Drosophila melanogaster: one gene and its partners. The protein of the gene in region 2 interacts with the protein of the main gene of each other region in a pairwise test. Each region holds a gene or a part of one and is shown on either strand. Other genes may lie near its edges.

Evidence for each region.
Region 1: the proteins of gem (region 2) and Neu2 interact in a two-hybrid assay, tested with the Drosophila melanogaster proteins (one large-scale study listed by BioGRID).
Region 3: the proteins of gem (region 2) and spn-F interact in a two-hybrid assay, tested with the Drosophila melanogaster proteins (one large-scale study listed by BioGRID).

What each region holds. Positions count from the first base shown.
Region 1 is NT_037436.4:21,488,290-21,492,462, reverse strand, and holds Neu2 (Neuroectoderm-expressed 2), read left to right. Parts: upstream 1-1,876; 5' UTR 1,877-1,983; intron 1,984-2,412; 5' UTR 2,413-2,461; coding exon 2,462-3,610; 3' UTR 3,611-3,613; downstream 3,614-4,173. Other genes in the region: CG7202 (uncharacterized protein), read left to right, coding at 276-1,015.
Region 2 is NT_033778.4:10,122,291-10,127,316, forward strand, and holds the start of gem (gemini), read left to right. Parts: upstream 1-2,002; 5' UTR 2,003-4,149; coding exon of another isoform or gene 4,150-4,329; 5' UTR 4,330-4,915; coding exon 4,916-5,026. Other genes in the region: Ccs (copper chaperone for superoxide dismutase), read right to left, coding at 1-168, 220-234; CG46319 (uncharacterized protein), read left to right, coding at 4,150-4,329.
Region 3 is NT_033777.3:31,253,233-31,257,219, reverse strand, and holds spn-F (spn-F), read right to left. Parts: upstream 2,094-3,987; 5' UTR 1,978-2,093; coding exon 1,251-1,977; intron 1,183-1,250; coding exon 815-1,182; coding exon of another isoform or gene 779-814; 3' UTR 561-778; downstream 1-560. Other genes in the region: CG1750 (uncharacterized protein), read left to right, coding at 2,366-2,541, 2,597-2,921, 2,979-3,141, 3,197-3,561; mRpL32 (mitochondrial ribosomal protein L32), read right to left, coding at 3,603-3,865, 3,922-3,987. UniProt on the Drosophila melanogaster protein: Plays a role in oocyte axis determination and microtubule organization during oogenesis. Also required for polarized organization of the bristle. Required, with jvl, for activation of the kinase IKKepsilon in the germ line.

The sequences.
Region 1 (4,173 bases), on a different chromosome or scaffold from region 2:
TAGAAGTTAATGTCTATATTATTTTAATCGTTATTTGTGGTATTAAAGGGTATTCGAGATTTGATTTAACATATGAAATAGATATCAGACATTAAGTATATGTATTAATCTTTCTTAAGATCACTTGCCAGTGATCTGGCCATGTCCGTCTTTCCGTCCGACTGAACGTAGATACCTAGAAAAGTTGATGTAATTTGGTGTTCCAAATACTTATCGACCCTTAAAGTTTTTCACAAAGTTGTTATTTACCTTTTGCCTTTTATTCACTTGTACAGAGCGTCCTGGGATTACGTTTGAGCCGCAGCTGTGCCACAGTCCCTCAGAGCAGAGTAGCTCCGACAGCTCCGACAGCACCTACCAGTTTGCGACGAGCTTCGGCGTGATCTTTGCCCTGACCTTTGGTCTGTCCAAGCTGCTCCAACTGGCGGAGCTGCAGGCCAAAAGGTATTTCAAGAGCAAAAAGGCGCTGCATCCCAAATCTGCTGCCAAAGTGCAGGACCCAGTTGTTGAGCAGAAGGCGCCAAGCCAGCAGGACGATTCGAATCCCTTCGATCTCCTGCAGGACCACAATGAAAATCTGAAGGAGCAGCTCAGTATCCTGCAGTTGCAGTGTCTGGAAATGCGCGAACTTCTGCACGAGCTGGATATCAGCAGTAGCTCCAGTAGCTATGGAAGTGTCAGATCCGGAAACCGGGTAGCAATGGCCAAGTCCTCCGAAGAATCAATGGTGGTGTGGAGGCGATCGGACTCCCTGACCGGTACGGTCTCCGGCTCATTGCACGCCGAAAAGGTCAACTCCCCCTCCACACAAAACATCTACATTACCAACAGCCACTTCCACATCAACGGACAGGTCTACCTGACCGAGAACCACGTGAACGTCGAGCTCACCCAGAACGCTTCTTTGTTCGGTCGGGGGCAGAGCGAGTTCCTGCAGGTGGCGGGAAGGTTCATCTCCGGACCAAAGAAGATGCCCATGTTAACGGGCATGCGGTGCCACAACATCCTCATATGAGGAGTCTTCAAAATCATCCATTTCACTCGGAATAAACAATGTTACTAGCAATTCAACGACGTTTATCTTTAGTAGTTGGTAATACAAGGGAAATGGTTCCATAGAAAAAGGGCATCGCATCAAATAAGGCTTGCTCGACTATAGGTTACTTTCTAGTTTTATTATTGTAGTTGATTTAACATAAATGTTTTTAAAAACTTTGGGGTTCGAGTGTTTTAATGTCATCAAGAAAAGGAATTTAAGGAATAATTCTAGCACATTATCTATAAAGGCAATAATCGCTTACTCCTTTTGATTTACAAAGTTATTAATAATGTACATATGTACTTAATTAACACCAGAAATCGATGCCATTTACTTTGTTTTAGTCTTGTATTTAAAATTGAATTATTCGTTTTTTTGTACTGTATGTTTTTTATTGAATAATTTGCTACTAGAATGATTCCGCCATGGGGTATATTGGGAATAGAAGGGTATGGCTAGCTTTATTGGTCATTGGGTAAATGGTTTTCCCCTGTTTTCCACCACCCCAATAAGTATATTTCGTTACAAACACATGGTTTTAGAGTTCAGCAATAATGATTTAGCACTTTGGGGTCGACCAAGGAAAGATTTTTTCTTTAACCATAGTTACTTTTACCTGCATGTATCACATTATGCATTGACCTGCTTGGATCTACAGAAAATCGTAAGATTAGTTGGGACGCACCGTAAAAAGATGAGTGCAGCTGCTGGAAAGCCCTTCTTTGATGACACCTGACCCAGGTAACATTGTTAAATATGCTATGTTGCCCATTTTACAGAACCAAACGACCTTGGGACATGTTTGTATATAAGCCTTACGACTTACCTATTCACTTCAGAAGGAGTACAACCCTTGTCATAGCAACATCTTTACAGATTGCCAATTCCTGTGCTTATTGCCACATTTTAAATACGCATTCGCCGTGAACAAACACGAAAATAAGGTAAGTTTAAGGTAAGGATTGCCATTGTGGGTCAATTCGTGCCGAGTTAGCAAAGTCATAAATAAACCAAGATGTATTTGGAAATTAGTGCAATTTATGTTTAAAGCTCTACACAAGTATTAAATTTCATTGATTATTAAATATAAGAAAGAGTGCAGAGGGTTCTTTTTGATGCTATGCAACTAAAAGATGACGTTTGTCACTGACCTTATAAAGTGTATGTGTCATCCATGACTACGATCTAGTCGTACCTATTCTGTCCGTTTGTTTGAAAGTTGAGATCTCAGTGTATTTAGCATTCAGGATGTAGATTCCAGAAACGCTAATACTCAAAGATCTGGGAATAACCATTATACTTTTTTGAAACCGTTTAAGTGCACGATTTTGTATATTCGCAATTTTATATTCACACAGTTCGTGTCATTTCAGATCGATGGAATCGTCAATATGCCGAGTTTGCCTGGTCAGTTACGAAAATATGGCCAGTGTTTTCGATGAGTCTCATGAACCGGGCCTATCCATTGCGTACATAATATACAAGTGCACCGGCTGGCAAGTTGAGAAGCACGATCCACTGTCCAACACCATATGCAAGTCCTGTCTGGAGGATGCGCAGAATGCATTCGATATCATAGAAACGTACGAGAGAAGTCACCAGTTTTACCGCTTCCTCAAGGATGTACGGGAGGAGGAGAGTGAAAATGATGGATCCGGATGCTCAGAAGAAGTGGAGGCAGCTGAGAGGGATCTCCAGGATGGTGCCGACGACGTCGATTCCGGCAATGAACCTGATATTAACGAATGTGATATCAAGGCCAAGGAGAAACCAGGCTTTAGCTGTTCTCACTGCCCTAAATCTTTTCAAGTAAAATCAAATCTGAAGGTACACATGCGTTCACACACAGGAGAACGTCCCTTCACGTGTTCCCTCTGCCCCAAGTCCTTTGGCTATAGCTCTGGTCTTCAGAATCACATGCGAACCCACACAGGAGAACGACCCTTCCAGTGCTCGCATTGCCCAAGGTCCTTTACAGCTGGGCACCACCTCAAGGCCCACATACAGATGCACGAAAGAAGAGGATCGTTAAGGTGCCCATACTGCCAAAAGTGCTTTCTAACTTCTTTAATTCTCAAGCAGCATTTGGCCACGCACACTGATGAAACGCAGTTCAAGTGTTCCCAGTGCTCGAAGTCCTTTCAAGTCGAACATGAACTTTGGATGCACATGCGAGTGCACCAAGAACGCCTCTTTACTTGTGGCCATTGCTCAAAGGACTTTGCGCTACATGCGTATCTCAAGCGACACCTGTCAAGGAACGCGAGATGCTCTCAAAGCTCAAAAGCATCTGCTCACAAAACACTAGGCCACTCAAAGGCACTTAAGTGTGGTAAGTGCCCAAAAACTTTCACTGACCGTTCGGCTCTGTCCACTCACTTGAAATCACACACCAAAAATAAGCCATTGCTCGAAGGTCCTTGCAAATCTTCAGGATCTAAGCCGGCACATAGTAACGCACAAAGAAAACCGTTTAAGTGTTCCAGCTGCCCAAGGACTTTTTCGCGGAAATCCGCACTGCTAACACACTTGCAAACCCACACAGGAAAACTGGGCACAAATCGCATGTAGAAGAAAGAACCGTTTGAGAAGGCTAAAAGAATTCGATTCTTTTTTTTTTTTTGTTCGCACGGGTCCTACGTCCACACCTCCCGCCCAACCGACCGAGGGGCGCTGCCGTGTATCGTACGGCTCGATTCGCGAGAAGATATAGACGCGATATAAAAAAGAGAACAGGAACGAGGAAATGAATATAATGTAAAATAACTATATTAAATATTACTGTTAGTAGGATCTAATTATGTAATAAAAAAGTTAAAATCGATTGCTTTAAGAGCGGCAGAGAGTTAAGTCTATTATAGTCAGAACATAAAACTCTGTAAGGGTCATGCAACTCATAGTTAGATCTACAATGATTTAAGATAAGGGGTATATAGTTTCTAGTGAATCTACTTGGAACCGAAAAGTTAAGCCGACTAATAAAGTCGGGACTCTCAACATCCCCACGAATAAGCTTACAAATAAAGACTGTTCCAAGCATAGTTCTACGGTTAGCTAGGGACGGTAAATTAATTAAAGGAAGTCTACTAATATAAGGAGGTAATATACGGTTTGCATCCCAATTTAGGCGCCGC
Region 2 (5,026 bases):
ACCTGTGGCTTCTATCTTGTCCTGAATCTCTGACCAAGGTCGTTGGGTTTGGATTATCACTCGACCTTCCTGGGTGTCAATTTCCACCTGGCCGACCCCATCCAGCGCCGAACGGAGGGCACCGGCATAGGATTCGTCACCTCTTCGCATCTGCACTGCAAATTCGATCTGCACATTAACATGGAAGCAAGTTTCCTGACCCGAATAACATATACTTACCTTAATGGAGCTCATTTTTATGGTCAAAGTGCCGACTAACAATGATAAACAAACTTTGGTATCGATGGCCGTCGATAGGTTCAGACAAATCGCGCCTTCTGTCATCGAAGAACGATAGGTTCACACGGAACGAAAGTTTAAGGCGTTTGTAAACCACTTATCCAATAAATTATAACGTTGAACTGATATTACTAGTTACGTATTAGAACACAGATGTAATATTTTTATCGTAGAACGTTTTACATTTACAAAACCAAAGTTACTAGCTTCGGTTTTGAACTTTTGCATAAATTGCGTGCTTTTTGATGAAGAAAATGAATTCTGGTATTTCTATTTAAGTCACTCCATATTTCCAAAATGACTATATTAATAATATTTGTGATGTTTGAAATTTATATAGATTACAACTATATTTTAAGTGAATAGATTAAAGCTTAATTTAATAGGGCTAAGTACCTTGGATATAATCATTGGTTTTCTGTTTAGTTTGACCAACAATTTTATAATCTTAAGCTGACTTTGTCCAACTCTTCTGGACCGATTCAAAACGCTAACCCCGAACTAGCTTAGATGCTAACTTATTTAATTTCCGTGCTAATTTTCAGACCTGTAGCTCCATTCACTTCATATTACGTTTTATAATTTTGGCTTAACTTTTCTTTATGGCCGCCGACAGTTTTAATCAATGGCCATAAAGAGTATTTTTAAGCCAAATGATGCTAATTTTTTGGAATTGATAGCGCTAATTTTTGTCTACAAAAACCGCAAGCGACAGATGCTGGCTTATTGAGGCCCAAAAAAAAAACGTGCAACCAATATGAATGAAGCTTTTCCATGCGCGCCACTTTATTGCAGCCAATTGCGCCTTGACTTTCATTGTGCAAAATAAATTAATTTCACTTGGACCCCGTTATTGATAGCAATTTAAAAACAATTGAGAAATATTTAATATTGCCTTCAATTGAAGAACTGTAAAAGGAAGCACTACAACAAAGAATTATGATAAAACCGTTCAATTCCCAAAAATTTGGCGAGTCGGCACATGGCTTTGTCAATTAAGGCCTTTCTTAGCACGTCGATCTAGGGATAGAGATGAATGATATCGGTGGATAACAATTAGTCGCTATTAGAGTACCGTTACTAGACCTTAAGTTCAACACTAGGAATGTAAGAAATTTAGTTTCTTTCCCAATGGTTATGTGGCTATTCACATTAGTAATATTATTTAATGTTTGTATTAACTTATATATAAGTTGAGTTAGTTCCGCAGATCCGTAATAATTTTTACAAGTCTGAGATGGTCCACCCTAACGACAGATCGACGCCATACGCCCTGAGCCACTCTGAAGAGAAGAACGCCCACACAAAAAGGCAATGTTCTCTTTGGGGCAGCGACTAATGGCAACAGCTGTTCTTGTTGATAAATAGCATAAAGATTTTTGTCGCCTTGTTTTGTGAGAGAGCAACAAATGCAAGTCAGCCTCTGAAACAATCACCTGGAAGGATACGTGTGTCGGGAATGTAGATAGATAAGTTGGTCTGGATAGTGCGTGCCACGGAAAATTAGCCTTGCCTTTGTTTCACTTGCATTCCACAAAGACGCACGCACACACACACGTGCACAGAATGACCCTTACAGTGGGGCTTTGGTATTGGTATTTGTATTTGCGGGTCGAACGCCACGCTCTTTTGGAGCGAGAGTGAGAGAGCGAAGAGAGAGAGAAACATAACGGGCTAGTGTATTTATTTTAATATTAGCTTTGTGACGTTCGCTCACCAAATCAGTATTTTTCGTACCATCGGCGTTAAAACACATGTTCAGCGATTTAGTGCGGGAGTGTAAACTAATCTGAGTAACAACAACAGCATCGTCGGCAAAGCAACAACAACGGCAGCAGAAAATTTTAACACGTTGACGCTTTTTCTAGTGTTTATAGCGAGCGGAAAAGCTTACTAAGCGCGTAACAAGCGAGACCCCGAAATCTTTTTTCATCTCGGTCTTTTCGCCTTTGCGTCTTTGAGTGTGCGTGCCAAAATTCAAATACGTCATCGACGCGCGCAGCCTTAAATCGAAAAGGAATGAAATAATTGATATACACAAATGCCAGCGAAAGATTGAATTCAATTGCAGGAGCAACAAATAGCCAAACAAATTGAGGAAAACAATTCCTCCAACCGCACAGCGACAACTTCAATTAATTAACTTGTTATTGTGTAGTAGCAGTCCGCTTCTTGCCATTCACCGCGAAACGCAGCCACACAAAAGAACGTGCAAAACAGCTGGGACTCGAACTGAGAGTAACGGAACGTCGAGCAACAAGTGCAGCAGCAGCAGCAGTAGCAGCGAAAACAGCAGCAACATCAGCATCATCAACAACAATACAAAGCCCTTTCAATTGCTGGAGAGAGGGGTGGTCCATGTGTCTATGTGCACTCCAATGAATACGAAGACAACGGCCACTTTTGTTGTTGCCACAATCAATTAGAGTGATAGCAGGCGGCAGAGGAAAAGCAGCGCGGCAGCAGCATCCGCATCAATTTGCTGTCAGCATCTGAATCTTCGGGTCGGCATTATTCCGAAAAGTGTGAATGTGAGCGTAGTTGCTCCCGTTCCGCCTCCGTAATCGCAAGTGCTTGTTGTTATTGTCGCACTCGTCTGCGATCCGCGAACCGCGATCTTTGCTTGTGTTTGTAACGGCGACGTCGTCTTGATTGGAACGCTCTGTATTTCTTGACTTTTTTCGTGCTTTTTTGATTCCGAAACTGGTGTATCTGTAGTTTCCCGCTAACGGCGAAAATTCACACAACTCATTGATATTTTAACCTCGTGTCCGCGTTGGCTGCCGCTCGACCAAGGTTCTGCCGCACAAAATGCTCGTCTCTTTGGGCTTTTCGAAGCCTCGCTTCGTCGGATTAAAAGTGCTCCTCTAGCACGCTCGCAAGTTAGTCCGGCCACAAAAATAAGAAAACCCAAAACTTTAAAATATAACCATAACCCATTGAATTGGCAGAAAAAGTTTTCACCACCCACCGAATCGTACCGTTATCGTTATCGCGAAACAGAATCCACAGATAAAAAACGTTCCGTTTCACTTCGTCGTAAATACAGTGCTAAATCGTGTGAAACAAACTAAAGTCGCTGCAAAAACAGCCTAATTTGTCTAATGAAAGCCGAGAGCATTTGTGAATAATTAGCCCCGAAAAAAAACCTGTTCGCAGTCACCGCAAAAATTAGGCCCCAATAAAAAGTGACGATCCAAGAAACTGGCATCTCGCCCGCTTGATATATAACACCCCAACACAAACGTAAAGTTCGCGATAACACCTATACAAAATAAAAAAAAGAGAGAAACCAAATCCAGCGAATCAACTTCAGAGTAAAGTCGCAAAGTCAGTGCAAGCCAGAGCAAAATCGTCGAGCAAACCGAGTAGTTGTCCAAACGTTAAGTCGCAAAAAGTCTAGGAAACCACCCCTACAATCGCTATCAGATTTCTAGTGCTAATACGATCGAAATAATGTCAGCCTTCTGACAGTGTATAACAAATAAAGTTACATAATCACCGTTGCAAATCCAATTTTTTTTTGGAAGCGAACCCCCAAAAGTGCCCAATTGGAATGTCGAATATCTGACAGTGACCAAACAAACAGCGAAATCAGTCGAAACCAAACTCAAGAGAGAACCCCAACTGCAGAAGGAAAGCGAGCGAAGTTGTTATCAGTGAAAATATACACACATATATATTCGATTTCAGCGTAAACAACTACTATATAATGTCCGTCGCCATCTGACAGTGGTCCAAACAACCAGCACAAAGAGCTAGAAGTCGCCGCAGCCAGTGACAAGTTTCACCACAGCGAGTGAGACCTGTACCGTAGAACCAACACAAGACACTTAAGCTTGCAACACGGGCTAACCAATTCAGCGATAAATGGAGAAATCTGAAATACGACTGCAACGCATGTCTAATGAATATCAGTCGCAATCGAGCTATATGTACCTCCGGACCAAGATGCTGTTAAAAATCGAGAATACCCTACTTCGAAGCCATCGTCAGCGCGAGACCACCGGTATCAAGAAACTATACAATTCGTTTTTCGTATTGTTTTAATTTGCCCCCCCGGCCAGTCCCGAACCCTCTCAAAAGGCCCCAAGAACACAAAACGCACAAAAGCAAAATTTACAATTCCACTCAACTGTGAGCCAAGTTAGAAAAAGTTACAAGAAAGCAAGTTATACATGTTATACCTACGTTAAATAAATATATGAATAAACTAGAGATATTATTTGGTTGTTAGTAGAACTCACGTCAAGTGCATATGGTTAGCCCTCGTATATCCAAAGTGCTGTGCGACGAACGAACGATTAAGTAAATAAGTGTGTCATATGAGCATTTTGAACAAGCCAAGCCAAAATGTTAGCCTAAGCAAGTAATCAGTAAGTGTTGGTCGATCAATATACGGTTTCTACTTCGAATATTACTATTACCATCAATCACTTTTGTTGCATTTCGCATTGCACCAAAAAACTTGAGCAAAATTGCTGGCGAAATTACTCCGGTCGGAAGTGGTGTTTCGTAATACGGGTGAGAGCGATCACGGTCAAATAATTCAGGAGGATATCAAACAACAAACAACAATAAGCTTGGACTAATAGAGACCAGAACGCGATTCTAACGCCGTTAACTCACGTACCGAATGGCGCTTTCGTTTCTATCCCAAAACTCCGGTCTGTTGGATTTACAAAGCATATTCGATCCACAATATACTCATCATCAACAACAACAACAACAACTACTACATTTGAGC
Region 3 (3,987 bases), on a different chromosome or scaffold from region 2:
CTGAGCATTTCATAGTAACGTAATAAAGTATCCACGGGAGCTGCCACGTGCCTGTGTCTTAAAAATATTTATTTATCAAACTTATTAGCATAGGCAAATTAAAATGTTTCCTTAAGCTAAATTCCTGCTGCGACCCACTCCAAATGCATTAAAAGAAAGTTAGCTCTGAGCATTTGCATTTGTATTGCTATCAATGGCAAATCTTATGGTCAATATTTTGGCAAATATTCGCATTGAATGACTGGATCAGCCCGATTAGGCACACGTTGCCAGTCGGGTTTCGACTACGTCATAGCCAAAAAAACAGGGAAATCCTCTGACCAGTTACAGCATAATGGCCTCAAGCCAAACTTCTTTGTCGAATGTTCCACTCTTCCCCCAAAGTGTGTGACTCACAGAAAAGCTGCCAATTAGATCGGATAATGACCACAAGCGATGGTAACATCGATCGTCATCTTTGATATTACAATATTTGTCAGCGCTAATAATATAATATTTATGTTGTCCACGGTCCACGATTTCACTTTCCAACCAACCGAAGAGAGCGCTCAACATGTTTTCAGGCTTTTCATTTAAACTGTATTTCGTATTCGGTCACTTACATCTATATATTCATGCACTCTCCGCAATTATAATACAATATATATATATTTTTTCTTAAAGTTCAATGTTGTATAGTTTTGATACATGATCGCCCTAACGTCTTATCAATAGAAACGTAACAAGCGGCTCCTGCGCAGTCAAACTGCTCCTTAATCCTTGGATTTCTCCGGTCAGGTCAGAGTTCGGTGGCGAAATAAATGCGCCTACTGGGTCAGAAGTCACCCACAGCATGGGAAACGAACTCAAACTGGCGCTCAATGCTGTTCTCCGACTCCAGTTCCAGTGCATCGTCGATGAAGTGCATCTCGACGTGCTCGCGGAACGCATTGAAGGACACTTGGCTGGAGTACTGCTTGCCGCACATAGGGCAGGTCTTCTCCATTGCGTCGGCTGCATCTGCTTTGATTTTCTCTTGTATTATGTTAATTCTCTGGCTGGGCGGCGTGCCATTGTGTCCATTGTGTTGGCTCTCATAGTTCTTCAGCTCGCTGGTCAGGCTGTCGTCCGTTTCCAGACTTTTGTCGGCCATCTCCGGTTTTTTGATGGTTTTCTGGGCACATTCCGGACAGGGCTTGAGTGCTGCTTGCACATAAAACAGGCGTTAAAAGTTATTTTTTTTATAGCATGAATTCCATTTTGTTGCTTACCTATGCGATTTTCTAGCAGAGTCATTACCGATCTGAGCTCCTGCTGCTGCTTCATGGCCTCTCGCCTCAGCTCCTGCAGTCCATCCAAACATCTTTTGGCATCCACATTGGCATCTGGTTCACTAGTGGTTTCCTCCACCTTTTGCAGGTTGTAGGGGTAACCTAGTTCCTCACTGCTGGCACCGAAGTCATCCAGGGCTATTTCCTCCAGACTGAGATCCTTAATGCCGTCGGAGAGCATCTTTTGGCGAAGGTGAGGATTGGGGGAGTGCTGCGTAAAGGTCTTGGAGCGCACCAGGTTCTGGTTTTGCTGGGCTCGCGAGTCTGTTGAGCTGGGCAGTGCGTTCAGCTGCTGATCCTTGGAGATCTGCGATAGGCGGGACCAGAGCCGTCTGTTCTCGTTGGATACCATGCCAATGTGCTCCTCCAGCTGCTCCTTTTGGCGCTGCAGCTCAGAGACCTGTGCTTTCAGAGAGAGGACGTCCCCAGTGACCCCGATTTCGTTTGCCCTTGGAGCACCTTCCGACCTGCTGGAGGCCTCCCTTAGCTGCTGGTTCTCCTCCTCCATGCTGGCCACGCGGCGCTGCAGCTGGATGCACCGCTCCTTGATCGTCTGCAGCGCCACTTGCAGTGCGTAGTTCATTTTTTCACTGGAGGGGGAGTTTGTGGATCCGGAAGCGGACATGGAACTGGCCATAGGCGTGATTTTGGCAGCAGATGCCTCCATTCTGCAGTATTGGAGTTCCTTGGCACTTGATCCCAAAAATATACGTTTTCCTGTAGATGTTTGATTTTCCAAATTTTTATTGCGTTCTCATTAGTATGACCGTGCGATGAACTTAAAAAAATAATATACACTATACCGATAGTCTATAGTCACTGAAGACAGATAAATAAAAGTAAAGTAATGTATTGAGCTAAGTTTAATTACTTAAACAAAAATAACGACTCTTGATCTTATAAAGTTAGACCACCATTTACATGGTTGAAGACGATAGGTTCAACAGGTTTCACTCTATCTCAGCATTCCTATTACGTTATTTGGTAGAGTGACCAGCTGGTATCGCGAACAGCTGTTTTTGTTTACGCTGCATTATTATCCAACAAATTTTCCGATGTTTTGCGGCAAGAGTTTAGTCAATAATTTTTACAAATATAAGAGAAAAGTGTGGCAGAATGTAATCCCAATTGCACAGCGCTGCAAGGGAACTTACCACCCTCCAAAAATTCTCTTTTTCGGTACCGACAATTTTTCCTTGCCCAGCTTACAGGCGCTACACAAAAACTGCGGGTAAAATGTTTTAAACAATAATGTTAAATTGGATTAATAAGAATATTTTTCTTAGTGATCGTTTGGGAGTTGTTACCTCCTTCAAAAGTCCCGCCAACTGTGTGAGGACCTACGCGGAAAAGGAGAAGCTTCCCCTGCAAAAGTGGCCCATAGATCCTTCTGTGTGTCCGCAATTTGATCTGGGTGTGGTGGTCTCCTTTGGCCACCTGATTCCTGGTAGTATCATCAATGGATTTCCTTATGGGATGATCAATGTTCACGCTAGTTTGTTACCCAAATGGCGGGGAGCTGCTCCCATCATATACGCCATCATGAAGGGAGATGCCAGCACTGGAGTTTCCATCATGAAAATCGAACCTCACCGGTTCGATATCGGTGATGTAAGTTCATTCTTATCTTACCATTGTATGCAGTAGTATTGACGACTTATGCTTTAGATTTTAGCTCAGCGAGAAGTGGCTATTAATCCCGATGTCTTCATGCCGGATCTGCATGCATCTTTGGCGTCGCTAGGAGCCGAGTTACTTGTGGATACTATTAACAACCTATCAGTAAGACTTAAGGAAGCCAAACCCCAAGATAGTTCAAGGGTCAGCTATGGTAAAGCATATCTAAGCACTTCGAGAACCTATATAAACTATATTTTTGCCTTCAGCTCCCAAGATTACCAGTAAAATCACAGAAATTATCTGGTCCGAGCTGAGTGCCATTGAAATATACACTCGTCATCGAGCTTTGTATGGCTACAAAAACCTTACAACCAACTTTTTGGGCAAGCAAGTGCAGTTGCTGGAGTTGCGATTACCGGAGAAGAGAGTTCCCGTCCAAGAACCTGGTGCCATCAGCTACCTAAGGAAGTCGAGATCCCTCATAATCGGATGTGCTCAGCAGAGTCAGTTGGAAGTGCTTCAGTTACGCGTGGAAGGTAGAAAACCTATGAGTGCCCAGGACTTTAACAACGGATTCCTGAAGCAAGCAAGGTCCTTATCCTTCACAGAGAATAAAATAGCATCGATTTGATAACGAACGTGTGGATTTAATGCACAATGGATGCTTAGTATCTAGGCCAAGTCGGAGGGCTTGACTTCCTTGGTTTCGGACAGCTGCTGCGTGGATTTTTGGAGCAGATTCTTGGTGAACCACATGGGACGAGGCTTCTTCATCTCCACGATGCGCTTGTTTTTCAGATCATCTGTGGACTGTTCGGCCTTCTCGCCTTCATAAAGAACGATTACTTCCTTGTCCACGGGATCTAGACCGAGTGTCTCCTGGATTTTCGACTGCATGAGCTCAGTCTCCTTCAGGACCTTTTGGTAGCAGAAGGCTGGAAGAGCAACATTAAAGGTGGCTACCTCTTTGTATACTTTTAAGGCTACTTACGACAAAGAACTCCCATCTCGTGGTCATGGCCACATTGCAGACAGGAGCGGAGGTTTCTCTTCTCCC